Linked DNA regions of Drosophila melanogaster. The protein of the gene in region 1 interacts with the protein of each later gene in a pairwise test. Each region holds a gene or a part of one and is shown on either strand. Other genes may lie near its edges.

Region 1 (5,429 bases):
ACCAAGACGAACCGTCCTTGGATTGTGGAAGAGAAGAAGGATGATGGCTACACAGCTCTGCACTTGGCAGCACTTAACAACCACGTTGAAATTGCTGAGCTACTAGTGCATATGGGTAAGGCCAATATGGATAGGCAAAATGTGAATCTCCAGACGGCTTTGCATCTTGCGGTGGAGCGTCAGCATGTGCAAATCGTCAAGCTGCTGGTGCAGGATGGGGCAGATCTTAACATACCCGACAAAGACGGGGATACTCCGCTGCATGAAGCGTTGCGACATCACACTCTGTCGCAGCTGAAGCAACTGCAAGATGTGGAAGGATTTGGTAAGCTCTTGATGGGCCTGAGAAATGCTAATAACAAGAAGGCCTCTGCTTCGATTGCATGCTTCTTGGCTGCCAATGGAGCTGATTTGACCTTAAAGAATCGCAAGCAGCAGACCCCACTGGACCTGTGCCCAGATCCCAATCTCTGCAAGACCCTGGTCAAGTGCTACAACGAAAGGAAGACCGACGACTCTGAGTTGCCCGGAAATGTAGCTGGAACGAGTTCGAGTGCCAGGGCAAGAGCAGCCAGTGGTAGCTTAAATCAGTCCTCCTCAGTCAATATGCCGCTTTCCAGCCTAGCTGCCTCATCCACTTTCCCAGCTGCCTCATCATCTTCCATATTTGCCCTCAACGGCATCGCCAACGAAATGAGCCAGTCCCTGCACGAGGATCCTCCGAAATCGTCAGCCAGTCTTGATGAGTGTTTGGTTTGCTCGGATGCCAAGCGGGATACGGTCTTTAAGCCCTGTGGCCATGTCAGTTGCTGCGAGACCTGCGCTCCGAGGGTGAAGAAATGCCTCATCTGTCGGGAGACCGTCTCCTCGCGCGAAAAGATCGACGAGTGTCTGGTGTGCTCGGATCGCAGGGCAGCCGTCTTCTTCCGCCCCTGTGGCCATATGGTCGCATGTGAGCACTGCAGTGCTTTGATGAAAAAGTGCGTCCTGTGTCGCACGCAAATCGATGAGATATTATCGTTCAGCCTTTGCTGCGGAGGTAGTGGACGACCGGAGAAGGTGTCCGTGGCAGCTGGAGCGATGGCAACAGTGGGCTTGCCACTGCCCGACGATCGTTTCATGGAAGCTGCAGCAGCGGCAGCTTGTGCCAATGCCTCCGGCCATAGCGTGGCCATGAACAACACCGTGGTTACTCCAGTGGCGGGCAGCAGCAATCAGTTGAATAGCCAGAATAATCTCCTGGCCGCTGCAGCAGCCTCTTCGAATGTCTCGAATCTGTCAGCAGCTGGAAACGCGATGGTGGCTCCTTCCAATGTCAACAACTTCCAGATGGATGATGTCCAAAAGTTGAAGCAGCAGTTGCAGGACATCAAGGAACAGGTGAGCTCAAATAAGATTGAAAATATGTTCAGTGACTGATCCTCAAATTTATCTTATAGACTATGTGTCCTGTCTGCTTTGACCGCATAAAGAACATGGTCTTCCTATGTGGCCACGGCACGTGCCAGATGTGTGGCGACCAGATTGAGGGGTGTCCCATTTGCCGCAAGACCGTGGAAAAACGCATCCTGCTCTTCTGAAGCCCGTTCCCGGTTCACACATTCCGCGCACAGTCTGCACAGCCTTCGAAGTATTAGGATATTTAAAGGACTCACATTCTTATACACACATATATACACACACAATATCATATATATAACTATATATCGGATTGGTCTTATAAAGCAAAAATATATTTTTAACAAATATTCAAACAAAAACATTAAGCAGAAATACTTTTGCTTGGCTCCTTGCTAATCAGATCCCTCAGAATGTCCTTCTTGGCCTGGAAATAGTCACGGAACCAGAAAATGTGATCCTTCTTCTCCTGGGCAGTCAAGTAGGGATTCTTGGACAAGCCGACGCAGACGAGCTCCATGAAATGGCGAATAGGCCCCTTGCTAGGACACCAATCCTCGAGATGTTGTTCCAGAAAAATGTGTTCCGAGAAGTCCACGTTATGCTCGTCCTCCCAATCCTGCTCATTGTTGATGGGAAAGCGCCACACCTTCTTTTGATCCGTCCACAGGACCATTTGCTCGAAGTAGTTTGCCGGGGGATGGGAAGCTTGTAAACTAAGCTCCCGCTCACTCAGCTGTGACCAGGTTGAAAGGATGTCGTTGGAAATCGGCAGCTGGGTATCCTTGAAGATACCCAACGGTTCCCCGCCGTACAAATTGACACTGCCCGTAAAGGATTCAGCCTCTCGTTTGGTTTGCCTCTGTGACCGCTGATAAGCCCCATCTCGATTCTGTGGCTTGAATCTGGAAGCCAGCGAGCGGCGAACGTACTCGCCGCGGGTCTGCTCCACCTGCTGCGGCTGCTGACGACGATCGATCTTCATGCCCACGATAATATCACTGTTGTGTAAGGAAAATAAATTTTATTAGATTATCCATTAATGCGAGAAAATCATTTTTACACACCTCAGATTGAGTTCCTTATCACCAGAAGGAGATCCCGAAACATCCGCCGTCTGATTTTCTCCGGTCGCTGCTGAAGAGGACTCGCTTCCATGGCCAAGGAGTTTGGCCAATAGCTCAGACTCTGTCTGCTTCTTGTCGCTCTCACTGGTGCCCAGCATGCTAGCAATGTTCTTGGCCGCAGTTAGAACATTCTTGGCGGCTGCCTCCTGTTTCTGGGCCTCCCTCCGCTTCCTGTTGGCATCACCAGGACGTGGAAAGTCCGATGCCGAGAGCTGATCCGTGGCCTGCATGGTGCCCAACAGGCGGTTCAGCCGCTGGGCCGCCGTTTCCACAGGTTCCTCCTTCTTCTTCGTGGGCTTTTCGTCGTCCGAAGAGGAGTATCCATCGTCGTTTTTGGACTGCGAAGAGGAGTAGTTGACCAATCCCACGTTTTTGAAGGCAGACGGTAGCAGGGAACTGAAAAATAAATAGTCGAGTGACGGATTTCTTTTGGTTATTTCAAATTAGACGGGTGGCCTACCGTAGGCCCAATCTCTGGGAACTTCGTACGGCCAACATTTTATAATATTTCTTTGATAATTTTAACTAGAAATAAGACCAAAGAAATCGCTCGCGTAACAACAATTCGGCGGAGAGTTGCCAGACCAGATGAACTGTTTGCACTGCCGTTTAAGCTAGTTTATAGTTAAATTTGGCTTTATTTTATGTTTGGCTTCCCTTGTCCTATTTCTTATAGTGTTTTGATTGAAAATATCCTTAACTAACCTAATCATTTCATGGACATTTGTTTTTTATCTGATTTGATATAATTTGAAATAAAATGTTCTTAAAATTGCATTTTGAATCAAGAATTTTATAGATTAACTTGACCACAGTTGGCAGCCCAAATTGCACCAGATAGTATGACCTTTGATTATCGAATTTGGAAATCTATGAAAATAATTATGTAGTTCAAAACAAGCTCCTTTTATAGAATTCTACATTCTCCTTGTAAGTAATTAACTTATAATCAAGCCTTTCTTCAACCTGTGATTCTAAGGTAAACACGAAATGTTACCACTTTTTCTTTGCACTTGGTAATAAGTCTCGCATCCACCGCGGTCACACTAATCACACGTTTTGTTTTTTGCGCTATTCCTGTTACTTTTTTTCGACGTACACACGCGTTTTGTTATTTTGCGCGATTAATTAATGGCAAAAAATAAAAAAAATAAATAAATAACGAGACGAAATAACGAAAACACCAGCGGCCGAGCTAGTGTGCGTGCGAGAGTGTGTGTGAGTGCTGTGTCTGTGTGGGCGTTTATAAATAAAACGCTGCGAAGCTGTGTGCGAAAAGCAGACGCGGATAAAGAAGTAAAAGAATGAGCGCAACCAAAAACAAGAGCGAAGGAAAGAAAGAAAGTGTTTTTTATTGAAATTCGTTGAAAAGTTTTAAATTTACTAAAACAGAGAGGCGAAAGTGCAACAGAGCGAAAGAGAGAGCGATAAATAGCGAGGTGAATATCAAAGGGAAACCCATTTGCATCGAGAAATAAAACGAAGCGAACGGACGGCCAAAGCGTAATTGTAAAATTCCACTGTCTGGGGCAGGCTATCAATTGGTGCATGTGTGTGTGTGTGAGCTATATATACGTGGTAGATGTATTATATATGTACGACATATATACTGCACGACACTTACCATATATACGAAGAAAACATGGAATCATCTCGCGATAATTGCCATATCCAATGTATCTCTATCTCTCATGTGTGCGCAACATTTTGCAGCTATCCTATACGAAACCGATCTGAATCAGTATCTGAATCCGAATCCGATTTATCAACCTGTTAAGCGAAGTGGAGCCACAAACCGAGTGCTTAAATGGATGCAACATCAATAATAACGCAAGTTTCCCGCGACGACGAGCAACTGAACGTCTATCCCAGCTATCCCAATGACAAAGGTGAGAACAAATAATGGGGGCCAAACTGGGGAAATCGCTGAAAACGCAGTCCGCATACACATACATATATTTAAAGCTCCCTTCATGACTCATCGCCACTCGAAGGCGTCACAACAAAGACGAAAGGACACTTGTCCGCTGCCAAGAAGTTTCCCCCACTTACCAACCACCACCCACCATAACCTCCCAAAGAAGAGGGCCCAACACCCCGCTGACCTTTCTAACACACCCAATTGCGGTCAATATAATTGTGGGAATAAGTTAGTTGTACATATGTCGTACTTTCCGAAAGTAGCAGCAAGTTAAATGGCATTGGCCTTTTTAATTTGTACAGGAACCACTCCAAAAACAAACTGATGAAAGACAAAAGTGCTTTTAATTCGAAAAATATATTCAAACAACATGCAATTAACTTGTAGCTGGAAAAAGTTGTTCAATTCTGTCTAAGCTAAATATTTAAATTAACGTTAGCTATTATCTGTTTGCACGACTGTGACCAGTTTGCTGTACTTTCTGTAATTTGAAACCAATTAAATGGCAATTTCTTTTCTTTAATTGGGAATCTAATTTCCATTTTAAATGTCTGTACTTTTTCTACTTTCAAGGTAGACTAGGAGTTTGAATTTATAGACACATTATTGTGTAAAAATCAGACTTATGTTTTCTTAATAGATTGTTCGACTTTGATAACTGTACTATGCTAGCAAAAATTACCTTTAAATATTCAAAGGTATCAATTTATTAATCAAAAATGTCCCCAGTCATGCATTTACATTTAAATAAATGGGCTTGCACAGGTTTTCACTGCGATGAATAACAATACTTAATAATAGTGTTATTTTCACGCCAGTTGTGCCTGTCTGTTGTGTTTGTTTCGCCCCTTTTTTATTCAGCACACAGTGTTTTCTTGTTCGTTGGCCATTGTGAATGATCTAACCACTTGCTGGCTTCGCTTTGTGGTTATTGAATTATTTTGCGACGCAGTTGCAACTCTGCCACCAGCCAGCCACCACCC
Region 2 (4,817 bases), on another chromosome or scaffold:
GTGGCTCCCGATCCATTGGCTTTTTGCTTACCTATCGAAACTTCGCTTATCGGAGCAATGGTGGCGAAAAAAGAAGATGAATGGGTGCACACTATTTGGATTGCCGTTCTTACCATTTTTGAGGGTTTGATTCCCTGCTATATTGCACACCCAATCAGTGTTTACCAATTAATTGATAGCCTTTGGCAGGTTTTATTTATTCTGTCTGCGTTTAGAAAGACGCACGCTTCAACAGGGGTGGCGATAGGTGAGGACGTGCGTTATCGATTGGCACTTTAACCCTTATGCGGCGTTGTCATCCATTTAGAAAAAAAAAACACAAGCGGAATTTATTTAATGTTATCGAATATATTTAACAAATTAAATCAGCATAATTATTATGTACTTTATTCAACGAAATATAGGAAAATAAACAAAATTTGTACTACAAGAAAACAATACTATTTGATTGGTTAGCAAACCATTATGTTATATGGATTTTGTAATAGTACAATTTATTATTCTTGCTTTTAGATAGTCATATACAAATTTAATCCTAAATCACAGGTTAGTTTAGCGATACCGCATAGACCACATATTCTTCACCATCACATAATTATATAGTCTCTGGTGTTCCAGATGATGCAGATCCGTGATGGTTTTCACCACTCGCTCGTCGTTGAAGTGGCTTTTAGGTGGGGCTTCCAGGAGATTTCCCGTCGTAAACCACTTTAGGTTCGAGAAGTGCTTTCTCACACTGTCCCGCAGAGCAACTCCACTGAAAACTGGTGTGCGGTACAGATCAAACATATTCTTCTTGCCATACTTCTCGTGGATCTCATCAACGGTCTTGTCCAGATCAGGCTGCTTGGCGTGATATATGACCCATAGTTTTCTTTGTGGGGCACGGAGATCTGTCAAGCTAAGAACTCCAAAGAATTCTACTATGTAGGGATTGAGTTTGGGTGTTTCAGCTTTTGGTTTTAGACAGAACAATTTTCTCAAATGGCTGTCGATTTCCTCATCCAGGTTGTAATCTCCTTCTGCGAATCGGTTGTTAATCATCGTTGATGTTCCAAATAAATAATTTGCCGTTTTAATTACCCGTGTTCTTATCAGTTACTGAATTCGTTGTCATATTTTAATAACGAGGTGACTCTTGCTTCTCTGACTTCTGAATGCGTGTTAACTTCCTACGCACTCTTATTAAATACCCAACAAATACGATTTCAACTGATTTGTATAAAGTTTGTTTCGTTTTGTTTACGATTTCCAATTTCACAACAAAAGAGCTTTTTGAAGCAACCCTGTGGCCTATCAAAAAACAGTGAGCTTTTAATGCGCTTGTTTCTTTTTAATACCTATTAATGCAGACAACTAGGGTGTTTATGTTTGTTGATTAGGATGATCGGATGACTGTGTCTTTAGACTCCAAGGTATATACTATTATGTACTACTATATTATAACCGCAAGCTACTTGTGTGTGTATATATTTTATTCGACATATTTTTATAAATCATTTAACTTGACCAATAGGTTGTAAAATGTATAATAATACCCCCTATCAACAAATACACATGCCGCTTTTAGTCAACAGATGTCGACTGTAAGTCGATGTTTTTAGTTAGTTTAATGTTTAGCAGGAGGTGGTTTTTGATCATTATACCGCTCAAACCAGGCGTGTTGTATCATTATATAGTCAAAGATTCTTTTTTGCTCCTTGTTATGCAAGTCCGAAACAGTTTTCACTAGTCTTTCATCATTATAATAACTATTTAGTGGAGCTTCCAATTGATTTCTGCTTGTGAACCATTTTAAGTTGGAGAAATATTCTCTGACGACTTTATGAAATCCCACTCCGCTGAATGTGGCGATCTGAAATATTTCTCTGACATTCCTATTGCCATATTTCTTTCGAATCCTTTCCAGAACCTTTAACCTTTCTAATCTAAGGCCATAATAAATGTACCACCGTTTTTGGGCAGCGACATTTGGTTCGTCAATACTGAATATTCCGAAATATTCTATCGTATCAGCATCCAACGACGTAGGTTCTGCAACTGACTTCATATAAAATAGACGTCTCCAGTACTTTTCCAATTTATCGTCCATGTTGCTAATATTCCCTGCTATTAAGAAATATAATCAGATGAAAACTTAAGGTGATTCATAGGCTTTGCCCATTGATAAGTGTGCGGCAATTTTGCCTTCCTACCTCAACAAGCGTTAAAAGAATACTGGTTAGCATTTATTGGCATTTATTATTTTAAAGCTTTATTCTAGAAAGTCTTATACATAAATGAAAATATTTTATGCATTTATGTTTCGATATGTACACGATTTATACAGATTACTCCTAGACATAAGGTAATCGAAGTATCTTCTCCTTTCGTTCTGATATAAATCTGCAATTGTGTTAACCACTTTCTCATCATTAAGGGAGCTACCTAGCGGGGCTTCCAAAATGTTTCCTTTTACGTGCCACTTAAGCCCTTTAAAGTGGTTCTTAACACGGGATCGCATTCCAGCCCCTGTATATACCGGTTTTCTGAACAGCTCGTACATATTCTTTTGGCCATATTTACGATGGATCTGATCCACAGTTTTGTCCACCTGATCTGTTGTCGCATAGTACATGTACCACAGTTTTCGGCGAGGCGCTCGAACATCGCTTAAACTCAGAACTCCAAAGTACTCCACTTCGGTTGGAATGTACTCATTTTTAGTATCGATTTCCTTTAGGCAAAACACACTTCGCAAATACCTTTCCAGTCGCTTTTCTAAATCGGGATATGCACCTGTAGATTATTATATACATATGTGCATCATTATAATATGCCTCTGTAAAGTTTTAACTAAACTTACTATTGGGAGCTTCAACAGCAGATGTTGTCATCTTGAAAAATTTGTTGTTAATAGAAACGGTTTTTCCCCTGCGCAACTTTTATACTTATCGCTCTGTAATATTTCACAAGAGCTTTAAGATTTCGCCAATGGCTCCAAAAGCTTCGAACGAAATGTAATTTTTCTTATTTCTTATTTTACACGATTTATGCGTTTCGGCTTATATAAAAAAATGTTAGAATGTTTATATTTATATTTTATTTGGATACTTAATAAATATGCAATGATAACTATAAGATATTTACTTGAAAGTCCCACACTGAATAAAATATTTAACCATTTATTTCAAAAAAAAAAAAAAAAAATGACGATGCTGCGTAAGGTTTAACAAATTCTTCATTTCAGAATTACAAAATTATGATTTTGCGTTCAACGAAATAATTAACTCTTAATTAACTGTGCTAAAGTAACTTAGAATACTTTCCAACTGGTTTATAGTCTTTGCCCTGCTATATAATAATCTCCGCAGAATCATCCAGCTCGCCTTTGATCACCGTCGTTTCCATGTGCCCTACGCTGCTGTTGGAGTCAGGCAGGATGCTTTCCTCTGACTGCACCGCGTGGTTAATGATGAAGACATTCGGATTTCCGGTGGTACTCAGACTCATTCCGGCGGGGGATACGAATTCGTCAGCAGGAGTCTCACCCAACACTGCACTTAAAGACCCTGTTGATTTCGCTCGTGCAACGGATGAGACTGTGCTCTTGGACAGAGTTCTTGCCGGCGCCGTCTGCTGTTTGCACAGCGCCGGTTTCTGCACAGCTGGTGAAGAATTCATCGACTTTAAAGGGCCCGAAGTCCCTGGTTTTTTCTTGGCATTCGTCCTTGGTGCTGGCATACACACTGTTGTGTTGAGATTAACGAACTGTTTAGGAACAATAAATTGTTTATTAATGACCACATAAATATTTGTCGTAAATAATAACTACCTGACTAGCGTCTTCCCGAACACTTTTCGGGATCCCCAACGTGGATCTTGGCTGAGCGTTTCCTAGAGCTGCTGCTGCTGCTGCTTGGGATGTGGAGGCTTTCACAGGCGTGCTGGTGGCAACATATGAAGACTTTCGCCCTGCCGTCGATTTCGAGCAGCTATACGGAAAGCCAAGTGTGTTCCTGCCCCCATCGTAAAGGGGAATGGTAGCGGGGAGAGAACTCCGCTGTTGGGCATGGTCCGCAGATATTTTCTTCCCTTGCTGTGGGATGTCGGAGGTGGCTATGCTTTTGGAAAGCGTCGAGCTGGTGGAAGCGCCTAAGCTCGAGTTGATTTGGGCCGGGGTTAGAGGAGTCATTGTGCTGGTAGCCTTGTTTAAGTAATGTACATAGTTTTCCAAAAGCTTTGTACCCACATCCACGTCGATGGCCATTAACGAGCTGGTCCTTACAATTTCCTCAATGGTACGCTGTCGCTCGGCCACTGATAAGTTGGCTGCCCGCCGGCTGAGGGTCTGGAGCACCAAGTCAAACATTTGAACCCTCGCCTGCAACTCCACGCGCTGCTTGTCGTTGGGGCAAATCGGAGGTAACTGAATAAAGGACGGCGACGCATTAATTACCATCGAGGTGCCGGCTAATGAGGGATTGGTAGCCACTTGTTGCACTGACTTCTTGATCAGTTTTGTGCCACGTGGCAACTGTTTGCTTAAAGAATCCAAGTCCGCCGAAATGGTAGTGGAAGAGGAACTGCCTGAAACTACGGGAGTGGAAGTAGATGGGTCCACGGTTGTGGGATGATTAAATAGACCTGGATCAGGTAGGGGAGCCGATAGCAAATTCTGTATAATCGATGGAAACGGTTGAGTTGCCGGACCAACCGAAGCGGGAGCAGGTGAAAAGGATGAAGGACCGGTGGGATCAGCAGTCGGAGTGGTAGCCGTCGGGGTCAGTTTACTGGAATCCCGTTCTTTCGACTTGTCCAGTAATTCCAGCTTTGCC

What was found. Proteins that work in one complex are often made in the same cells at the same time.
Region 2: the proteins of mRpS31 (region 1) and CG33469 interact in a two-hybrid assay, tested with the Drosophila melanogaster proteins (one large-scale study listed by BioGRID).

Annotation. Positions count from the first base shown.
Region 1 is NT_037436.4:16,002,884-16,008,312, reverse strand, and holds mRpS31 (mitochondrial ribosomal protein S31), read right to left. Parts: upstream 3,121-5,429; 5' UTR 3,024-3,120; coding exon 2,986-3,023; intron 2,922-2,985; coding exon 2,466-2,921; intron 2,400-2,465; coding exon 1,763-2,399; 3' UTR 1,714-1,762; downstream 1-1,713. Other genes in the region: mib1 (mind bomb 1), read left to right, coding at 1-1,380, 1,440-1,580; hzg (herzog), read left to right, coding at 4,333-4,414.
Region 2 is NT_033778.4:14,604,084-14,608,900, forward strand, and holds CG33469 (uncharacterized protein), read right to left. Parts: upstream 2,220-4,817; 5' UTR 2,093-2,219; coding exon 1,610-2,092; 3' UTR 1,569-1,609; downstream 1-1,568. Other genes in the region: tra2 (transformer 2), read right to left, coding at 1-16; CG12868 (uncharacterized protein), read right to left, coding at 553-1,022, 1,084-1,117; CG33468 (uncharacterized protein), read right to left, coding at 2,291-2,778, 2,846-2,876; Su(var)2-HP2, read right to left, coding at 3,334-3,750, 3,815-4,817.